Linked DNA regions of Arabidopsis thaliana. The protein of the gene in region 1 purifies or fractionates together with the protein of each later gene. This does not show direct contact. Each region holds a gene or a part of one and is shown on either strand. Other genes may lie near its edges. The genes, in order: PDX1.1 and EMB1241.

The links.
Region 2: the proteins of PDX1.1 (region 1) and EMB1241 fractionate together in Arabidopsis thaliana (co-fractionation; one large-scale study listed by BioGRID). This does not show direct contact.

Annotation. Positions count from the first base shown.
Region 1 is NC_003071.7:16,009,057-16,013,015, reverse strand, and holds PDX1.1 (pyridoxine biosynthesis 1.1), read right to left. Parts: upstream 1,784-3,959; 5' UTR 1,542-1,783; coding exon 612-1,541; 3' UTR 501-611; downstream 1-500. Other genes in the region: AT2G38240 (2-oxoglutarate (2OG) and Fe(II)-dependent oxygenase superfamily protein), read left to right, coding at 45-293; APD3 (RING/U-box superfamily protein), read right to left, coding at 2,478-2,553, 2,670-2,919, 3,026-3,101, 3,194-3,346, 3,448-3,530, 3,607-3,699. UniProt on the Arabidopsis thaliana protein: Catalyzes the formation of pyridoxal 5'-phosphate from ribose 5-phosphate (RBP), glyceraldehyde 3-phosphate (G3P) and ammonia. The ammonia is provided by PDX2.
Region 2 is NC_003076.8:5,838,839-5,843,997, forward strand, and holds EMB1241 (Co-chaperone GrpE family protein), read right to left. Parts: upstream 3,021-5,159; 5' UTR 2,802-3,020; coding exon 2,550-2,801; intron 1,988-2,549; coding exon 1,472-1,987; intron 935-1,471; coding exon 722-934; 3' UTR 501-721; downstream 1-500.

The DNA.
Region 1 (3,959 bases):
ACTCTACAAATTAAATACTAACCGATGGATATATCAATGTGTAGATACTTAGCAATGGAATTTACAAAAGCGTGGAACATCAAGTGATCGTTAATTCCGGTATGGAACGAGTCTCTTTGGCATTCTTCTATAACCCGAGAAGTGATATCCCGGTTGGACCAATCGAAGAACTAGTAACTGCAAACCGACCTGCTCTTTATAAACCAATCAGGTTCGACGAGTACCGTTCTCTGATAAGGCAAAAGGGTCCTTGTGGAAAAAACCAAGTCGACTCACTGTTATTAACTAGATAATAATTGATAAACATTCCAAGTATTATCTGTTATTCCTATGTCCTTGATATAGTCGTTACTAAATAATATGTAAACCGTATCTTCACTTTTTCTTATTATATTGCTGCTCTCTCTTGAGGTTTGATATTGTTAATTTCACATAGTTTAGTTGTAGAATTTGCCATTAATCCAATGAAATTATGGTTGGCCACACTAGCCAACAAAACTCCTCATTTCCAATTTTTTTCTATAAAATCTTGAATAAATCGAGAATATTGGTTTGTGGATACATATTAAAGTGACAAACGTTATGGATAAAAACATCTGAAATTTGATTGGTTACTCAGAACGACTAGCGAACCTCTCAACCTTATCATCCAAATTAAGACCAACCATGGCTTCACCTAAACCACAGCTCACCTCCGCCAACACCGCCGCGTCTCTATAATTCGTAACCGCCTGAACAATAGCCTTAGCCCTCTTCACCGGATCTCCACTCTTGAAAACACCCGACCCAACAAACACTCCATCACATCCCAACTGCATCATCAACGCCGCATCCGCCGGCGTCGCCACTCCTCCAGCAGCGAACTGAACCACCGGTAACCTCCCAAGCTCCTTAGTCTGCACAACCAAATCATACGGCGCAGCGATCTTTTTCGCGTAAGTGAAAACCTCGTCATCGTCCATGCTTCTAAGTAACCGAATAGCTCCGTTCACACTCCTCACGTGCCTAACGGCTTCAACAACGTTACCAGTTCCAGCCTCACCTTTGGTTCTTATCATGGCGGCTCCTTCACGGATCCGCCTTAAAGCTTCACCGAGATTCCTACATCCACAAACAAAAGGGATTTTGAAATTATGTTTGTTGATGTGATTATCTTCGTCGGCGAGAGTGAGAACTTCACTCTCGTCGACGTAATCAACTCCGATTGCTTCCAGGATCTGAGCTTCAACGAAATGACCAATTCTAGCTTTCGCCATCACCGGAATCGTCACGGCGTTTTTGATTTCTTTGATCATCTCTGGATCGCTCATTCGAGCAACACCGCCTTGAGCTCGAATATCGGCGGGAACACGTTCAAGAGCCATCACGGCGCATGCGCCAGCTTCTTCAGCGATTCGAGCTTGCTCTGCGTTGACGACATCCATGATTACACCGCCACGAAGCATCTGAGCGAGACCAACTTTCACGGAGAAGGGAGATTTCTGTTTCGTCTCCGTCATGGCTCCTTCGCCGTACACCGCCACAACTCCGGTTCCTGCCATTTTTTCTAGGGTTTTGAGAGAGTGTGGAGCAGAGGAGAGGGGATTTTATAGGACGCGATTTGAAATTTGTTTGTGGACTGTGAGCTGTTGGATTGAGAAAAGATAGTAAAAGTACGTGAATCGGACGGGTTTAGAGGAAGGAGCACGAGGATTGTGGTGGACGTGAGTGTAGAGAAGAGAAGCTACGTATGGAAACTTTGACCACAAGATTTGTTTCTTTTTGTTGTAAATGTATAGTCCCGAAGAGATTATTATCTTGTTGACGTGGAAGCTCATTTCCCTATACCATCGTGTGATGTCGAAGAACCACTGATTCGGATATGTTATGTGTGTAAGGGTGTTGTTCTTTTTTTATGGTATAAAATATGTGGAGAATTTGGAAAAGAATATTAAATTTAATAAAATAAATTACAGTCCTTAATTATTTAATCAATAATTTATACTCTTTCCATTTCACAATATACGTTGTTTTAAATAAAAATATGCAAATTAAAAATATTTATTTTTAAAAAGTTTAGCTAATCATAAAAGAGATTACATAATATAAATAATCAAAAAATATTAAAATAATATATTATTTACATAGAAAGTTAAAAACAACTTATGTTGTGAAACAAAAAAATTGGTCCAAAACTACTTATATTACGAAACGGAGGAAATATACAAAATCCGAATTTATTCAGAAATTAACAATTAATTTATGAAATCCTTAATTATCGATTCGGGTTTCGAACCATTTTGTGATGTGAGTCAACAAACAATGGTTCACTATATTGCCTACCCTATGGTAGTTAACCAATGATGTTGTCACAAAGATGGTTAAGAGATGAAACGAATTAATGCAAAGAAAGACCTGAGCCTTGTCAATATCAAATTATATGATTTTTATTAATGCTCTAACGATTCAACATCACATTGGACAGATAATGATACATCTTAAGCTGTATAGATTCGCTTCACATGTATCATTTTCTTTCGACATATTGGACACCTCCCCTTGGTTCTTTTTATCCTGCAAATATTGTCAAATCACAACGTTCAATATTTTAGATCAATCCCAATATGGTAAACACATTACCATTACAATTATGCAATCCAGAAGTTGTACTTAGTTGATAAAAAACTTACTTTGTTCCGCATTGGTAACAGGAGACGCAATGGCCACACGGGAGGAAACAACAATCTCTTGGAGCATCAAAACAAATGGCACAGAGACTTTTGTTACTTGCTTCGACATCATTACAACAATCATTGTCACCTTTGTCTGCAAGTAGACATGTTCTCACTGAATCATCTCCGGATAAAAATCCCTCTCCACCACAGCACTTTAACTTGTTGCAGAAGTGTATAGCTACCAGCATGAAGGAAAGCAACACACCTGCATACGCAATAATACTACATGTAATTGCTTCCTTGTTACAGAGAAACTAACAAATGCTCAAATCCAATAATCAAGTTGACTTTGAAAAGATTGAAAAGTTTACCTGTGAAGCTTCCATATGCAATCAATCTAGGTTGATATGACAACTCGATATACCATTCATCATCGATGGATACTCCCTAAGGCAGTGAGACAAACATTCATTCAGCTAAGAGTCATAATAATAATAACAGTAACAATATTGTTAGTGTTTCGTATTACGAGTACATACCTGACCCAGTGCTGGTGAAGTTACGACAGCATAATTTTCAACAGGGTACCTTTCATTCATTTTGAATGAGCACTCGCCATTGCTGAAGGAACAATTGTAGGATGTTTGTTTAGTATCATACAAGACAGCCTTCACATCAATATCCAGTTCCACCTGAACAAACATTATGTCAAGTAAAACAGTGTACTGTGGACTGTGCAGAAACACAACAGAAACCAAAACTTAATCCAAAGTCATAACTTGATTATAATTACCTCTATGTCCTTCCTCTTCAAGTTAGCCACAGTAAGATAATAACCTTTAGACTTACTTATATCCAATTGAATCATACCACTCCCTGTAAAGAACTTTTATTAACTCATGATAAGCAATGTAATCAATGCATCTTAAGCAGGAACTTCCATTTGACTAACCCTGAATTAGATTCCATGACCAAGCGGTGTCACGAAATGCAATATCCTTCAGCGACGACCGATAGAAGAATGGCATTCCTATAACTTGAGAGCCTTAACATAGTCAGTTTATATCCCTAAAAGGCAATACTTTCAAACAAAAAAAACTCACTAACATTAACACTTCTACTTCCTCTATTTCCTCTTACTTCACTCAAAGTTATTTTCCTATTCAAGTATATACTATACACAAATGAAGTCTCGATTGTTAGAAAACAACGAGGGAAACAGGTTTATTTAAATATTCGGTTTTCCCAAGGGTTTATCGGTTACGTGTTCACATCAACAAAGAAGATCTTTTAGGTTTTTCTTTA
Region 2 (5,159 bases), on another chromosome or scaffold:
AAATCAACATTTGTACTTGTACGTTCACACAAGACATGCATTGTCCTAGGAGACTAAAGATGGACCGGCCGATTACACCTCGTATCCGATCCAAAAATTATGTGATATATTATCATCATTGAGGATAAAATTTACTATTGATTGTTTCACACTTTCACTGTATGACACTATTTATTCTATTACCCGGTTTAATGCATTATGCATGGATCCCAACGTTACTAGAAATATCCAAAAAATAACAAAAGAAAGAAGAAAAAAAAATCCAATCCAAGATACCCAACATACATGGCCCTAACATTTCTTTACACAAAATGGACAACTCCTCTTTAAGATATTTAAGTACCCAAAGAACCCTAACCAAAAGAAGAAAACTTGGACAATAATTTGGACTCGTAGGCCATAGTACTCAAATACAATTTACTGTATTGACTTTCTGTTTGTTCCAAACTTCCAATTATCAACATTTTCTCTGAATCTTCCGAATTTTCTAGCTGTGTATAGAGAGATGAAAAAAAATCAATTATGGCATTCCCTTTCGGATTGAATACTTAAGAATTCATTAAAAATGTCGATCTATATTACTTCTAGACTCTGTAGAAATGATATAACGTATCAATAACAATAACAACAATAATGGTAAAACAGACCTCTCCCTCTTTTATCTCTGTATCTCTCTCACACACACGCACACAAAACTGCTGAGTCTTGATCATCTTCAATTTCAAGATGAAGATGATTCTTCTTCTGCGCTTCCTTGTGCTGTGGCTTCTTCTCCTTCAGCTTCAAGGGGCTTTTCTGGTCCAGGTCCAGCTGATACTTTCACCATTGAAGGACGTAAAAGCCTTTCACCTAGCAAGAAACCTTTCCTGTATTCTTCTAGTACTATACCCTCTTCGTATTCCGCAGAGTCTTCTCTCATTATTGCCTCATGTAGCTTTTTTCACACAACAACGAGAAAAGCAAAAGGATAAAAAAGAGATGTCAGCTGTTAGGGACTTGAAAAGACCAACAAACAAAAGGATATCTACCAACTCATTGTCATTTAAACCCAACTTGCAAAAGTAACAACCACATCTTACATCTAAAGTCTCCAAAACTTTAGCAGATTCATGCTTAGGACTAGACGCATAAGTGGTTATGTATTTCAAGCTTTGCGATAACCAAAAGGCATCTAACTGAGATAAGTGATCCTAAACCTCAAAGATTTATTGATCATTTGCATCACAAAAGTATCATTCAGCATAATTTGTTCCATCCATCTGATGTAGCTAACTTTCAAAGTAACAACCATATCTACGTTCTGCTCAAGATTATTCCGGCAGCCCTATAGCAACGAATTATCCTAACTTCCAAAACAACTTTGATTTTAAAGATCACGTCCATAGTTAAAAATTAAAACCACCAGCAAGCTGAGCAACAAAAATACAGTTGTCGATCTCCGGAAAGAAGAAAAGATATCATAGTAACTAACCATTGGATCAAACTGCTTGCCGACTGTCTCCACATGGATAACACCAAGTGATCCCAGAATTTCTACAAACTGTTTGTATATGCTCTGATAGCTATTAGTGACTTTCTCTTCTCCCTCAGTCTCCACCTTAATTTGGGATTTAGCTCTCTCGAAATTATCCAAAACAGCCAAAAGATTCTCTACAACCTCTCCTTGAGCATTTGAAACAAGGTTTAGCCTTTCCCTCTCAGTCCTCTTCCTGAAGTTGTCGAAATCTGCACTGATTCTTATAAGCCGATCCCTCTCCACCGATAACTCATTGGATAAAGACGCTACTTTATCCGCAAGCAGAAATTTTTCATCTTCTATGGACTTTAAAGATGCTTCTATCTCAGCAATCTTCCCCTCGTTGTTGTCTGCTAAAGCTTCTTTATAGGATTTCAGCAACGCTGTGATAACAGCTGCTTCTTCTTCCTCAGCTTCACCCTCCTCAGCACTGGCATTTTCATTCTCGACATCAACAGCACCATCCGTCTCCTGCTCCATGATTTCAGAAGTGAAACAAAAAATCAGAAAAAGAGCAATCCAGTTTACATAGACGTTTCCTATCTATTCCTGATAAAAGCTGAGACAGAACACACACTAACGACACAATTTTTTAATGACCTCCTAAACAATCAGATTAACACCAAAAAAGCTTCAGAACATTCTGTGGCCCCCATACAAGAATCACGAAATCAAAATTCGATTTGGATAGTACATACACACCATGGTCTTAAACTACTAGTGAAACTCCTTCATTTTGGGAACACACCATACCACAAGAATATGAAATCTGTCATTCATCGGATTTGGTATATCCTAAGAAACATTAGCATTCACCATTTGACTCCTGAATAGACTGAATACAATCCTATTCATTGCTCTAATTCATGTGAACGTTCCTTCAGAGGGTAATATAATCAATAAAGCTTAAAAATTTAAGCAAACAACAAGCAATTCTAAATTACCATATCCCAAATTCGAAACCCTAATCACCGAACTAACAATGAAATAACCCCCAAGAAAGTTGAACAGAAGTGAGCCGAAATCGAAAAACCTGAACTTCGGGTTCGTTCGATTCCACCTCCGTCTCCGTCGTCTCAGCTTCTCCCGAAGCAAAGGGTACGAGGTTTAGTAAGCGGAGAGGATAGCCGCTAGAGACAGACCGGAGAGAAGCTCGGCGAGAGAGTGAGACGCTAACGTTTCTTCCTCCGGCGAAAGATACGCAAAAGGGCTTAAAGGGTACAGAAGGAGCATGAAGAAGAGTTGGTGTGAGATGTAAAGACGGCGTTTTGAGTAGACCGGCCATCGAAGAGTTCGGAGAAAGAGAAGGAGAGTGGCGGAGAGAGATAAGGAAGATAGAGAGAGAGAGGGCAAACGGTTCTACTCTTCCTCGTCGGATCTTTTGTTTTGTTTCGTTTTTTTAACCGTTGGATTTACTTTTCGTTTTTACTATGTTGATCGGACCGTTGTTGTTCAACAGAGATTACGTAGGGAGTTTTTCAACCGTCGGATTTAGATTTTCTTGAAACTTCTACAGTTTTGTGAATATTTTATATAATACAATAAAATCTCTGTAAATTAATACTCGAGAAGGCTGTTCGATGTTCTATGCCAATGATCTAACTGATTCCTGGTATGATGTCTCCAAACTCTTTGTAAGTTGTCTTCCACTCTTATGGTTCAACTCTTTTTCCAAGTCCACTTCATCACGAATCTCTTCATCTTCTCTAGCGATGACTACACTTTTCTTCAAGTGGGAGCAAATTTATCCAGGAACTGTTGTTCTGACATAAGAATATTTGAATGATTTGTAGTTGTATCAATTTCGCCTTGCCTTTCTTTTGGATCTGAATGTTTCAAACATTTTCGACAATAAAATATGTTTTTACCAATTTGTATCAGTTTTGTTATTGCAGATTCAAATTGTATCATGATCTCATGCATATCGTTGTTGAAAATAACATAATAAGACTTGAGATTTGGGAAATTTTTAGAAGCAATTTTGTGTTATTGACTATAACTAGTTCTACAATTTGGGCTTAGGCTTTATTTACAAAAGGGTTTCCTTAAGCCCAAAGAGATGTACTATATAGTTAAATGTTTGTTTTGGTCAAGTACTAGTACTCAATATGTTATAGATGAAAAGTAATAAGAGAATATCAGGGTTTGCCGGTTTGGGTTGACAACAAAGAGATAGGAGACCATCCATGTTTAATCTATTTTCTAAGTCCGCACACTTAGTTTTGTCAGAAGTAGTGGGTGCAACGGACCTTAATCCTAAATCAGAAGTATTAACTACAAAGTGACTAAAGTTTTAAACTAATTATTAAATATCACCCGTTGTTGAGGCTAACATATCATAAAAGATATTCTTCTTCGACCATTTTACTTTTTCATTTTCCAATTTCTCAATATATTATTTTAGTTAAAATTTTGTAAGTAGATGTTTATCAAAAATTCTCAAGTAAATATCTAGCATATGTTTGGAGGTGACAATCCATATAAGCTTTTAAAATTGAATATCAAATAGTTTAGTTCAAATGTTTAGAATTGGAAGCTAAATAAAGGAAGAATTTCAAAAGCATCTTTTCGAATACCACTTTTCAAAAATATTATATTTCTAATTGTTTATTAAAAGTACTCCTAAGAATATGAGGTTTATTCAAATATGTGTGTAACTTTATTAAAGTATACAAACTACTTTTATATGTGTGTAAAAACTTATAAATATTTTATAAATACAGTATAAAAATAACTTATAAATACCTTGTAAAACAATACCTTGTAAAACATTTTTAAATACCTTCTAAAATCTTATTAAACCATATAAAATACTTTATAAAACATTAGATCGAATCTCCAATTAGTAGTTTACACCAAAAACTTTATGAACTTTTGAGATTTAATGAAGAGTATTTTCTAAAAATAAACACCTAAAAAGTTTCCAATGGTGATTAACAAATTGAACTAGCTGAATAAAATGAGTACTGATAAGTTGAATAAAGATAAGCTGAATAATAAAAAAGAGTTGGATAAACTAGATGAGATGAATAAGTTAGAGAAAAATAAAAGGTAACCTCTATATGTTTTCAACAGCTAAACATATTTCAATATTAATTAGAAACAGCTAAACAACAGGTTGTATTTTATTATATTAATTCTAACGCATGCAACGCATGGGTCTTCCACCTGGGTATATCATATAGATTATGAGTCTGTATCAAATTGGTCATCACGTCGATTGAGAAAAATAAAAATAAAGTCTCTAATCATTTAGTTTCCTTCTTTTTATCGTCCCGTAATTCTCTATTTGTTTAACTTGACAATAAACTTAGATCTCGTTTTTTTACAATTTTTTTTTAAAAACAATAGATAAATATGTCTAATTTTCTTACAAAAAAGTGTATAAGATATTCCCAAATAGCCTACATATAGTATATATTTTGAATGAACGATTCCGCTTAACACTATCAGTGAATTTTGGGAACTCAAAAAGGATTATGACCAAGTTTTGGGTTCAAATCCTACCCTCAGCTAGTTTTCTCGTAGTCAAGTTTGTCTCAAATTATTCGTCCAAAACTCTTCGCTTACAAAGAAAGATTACACAAACTTAAAAAAATATTCAAACGAACGAGTTCTACTGTGGTATCAATCATACACATAA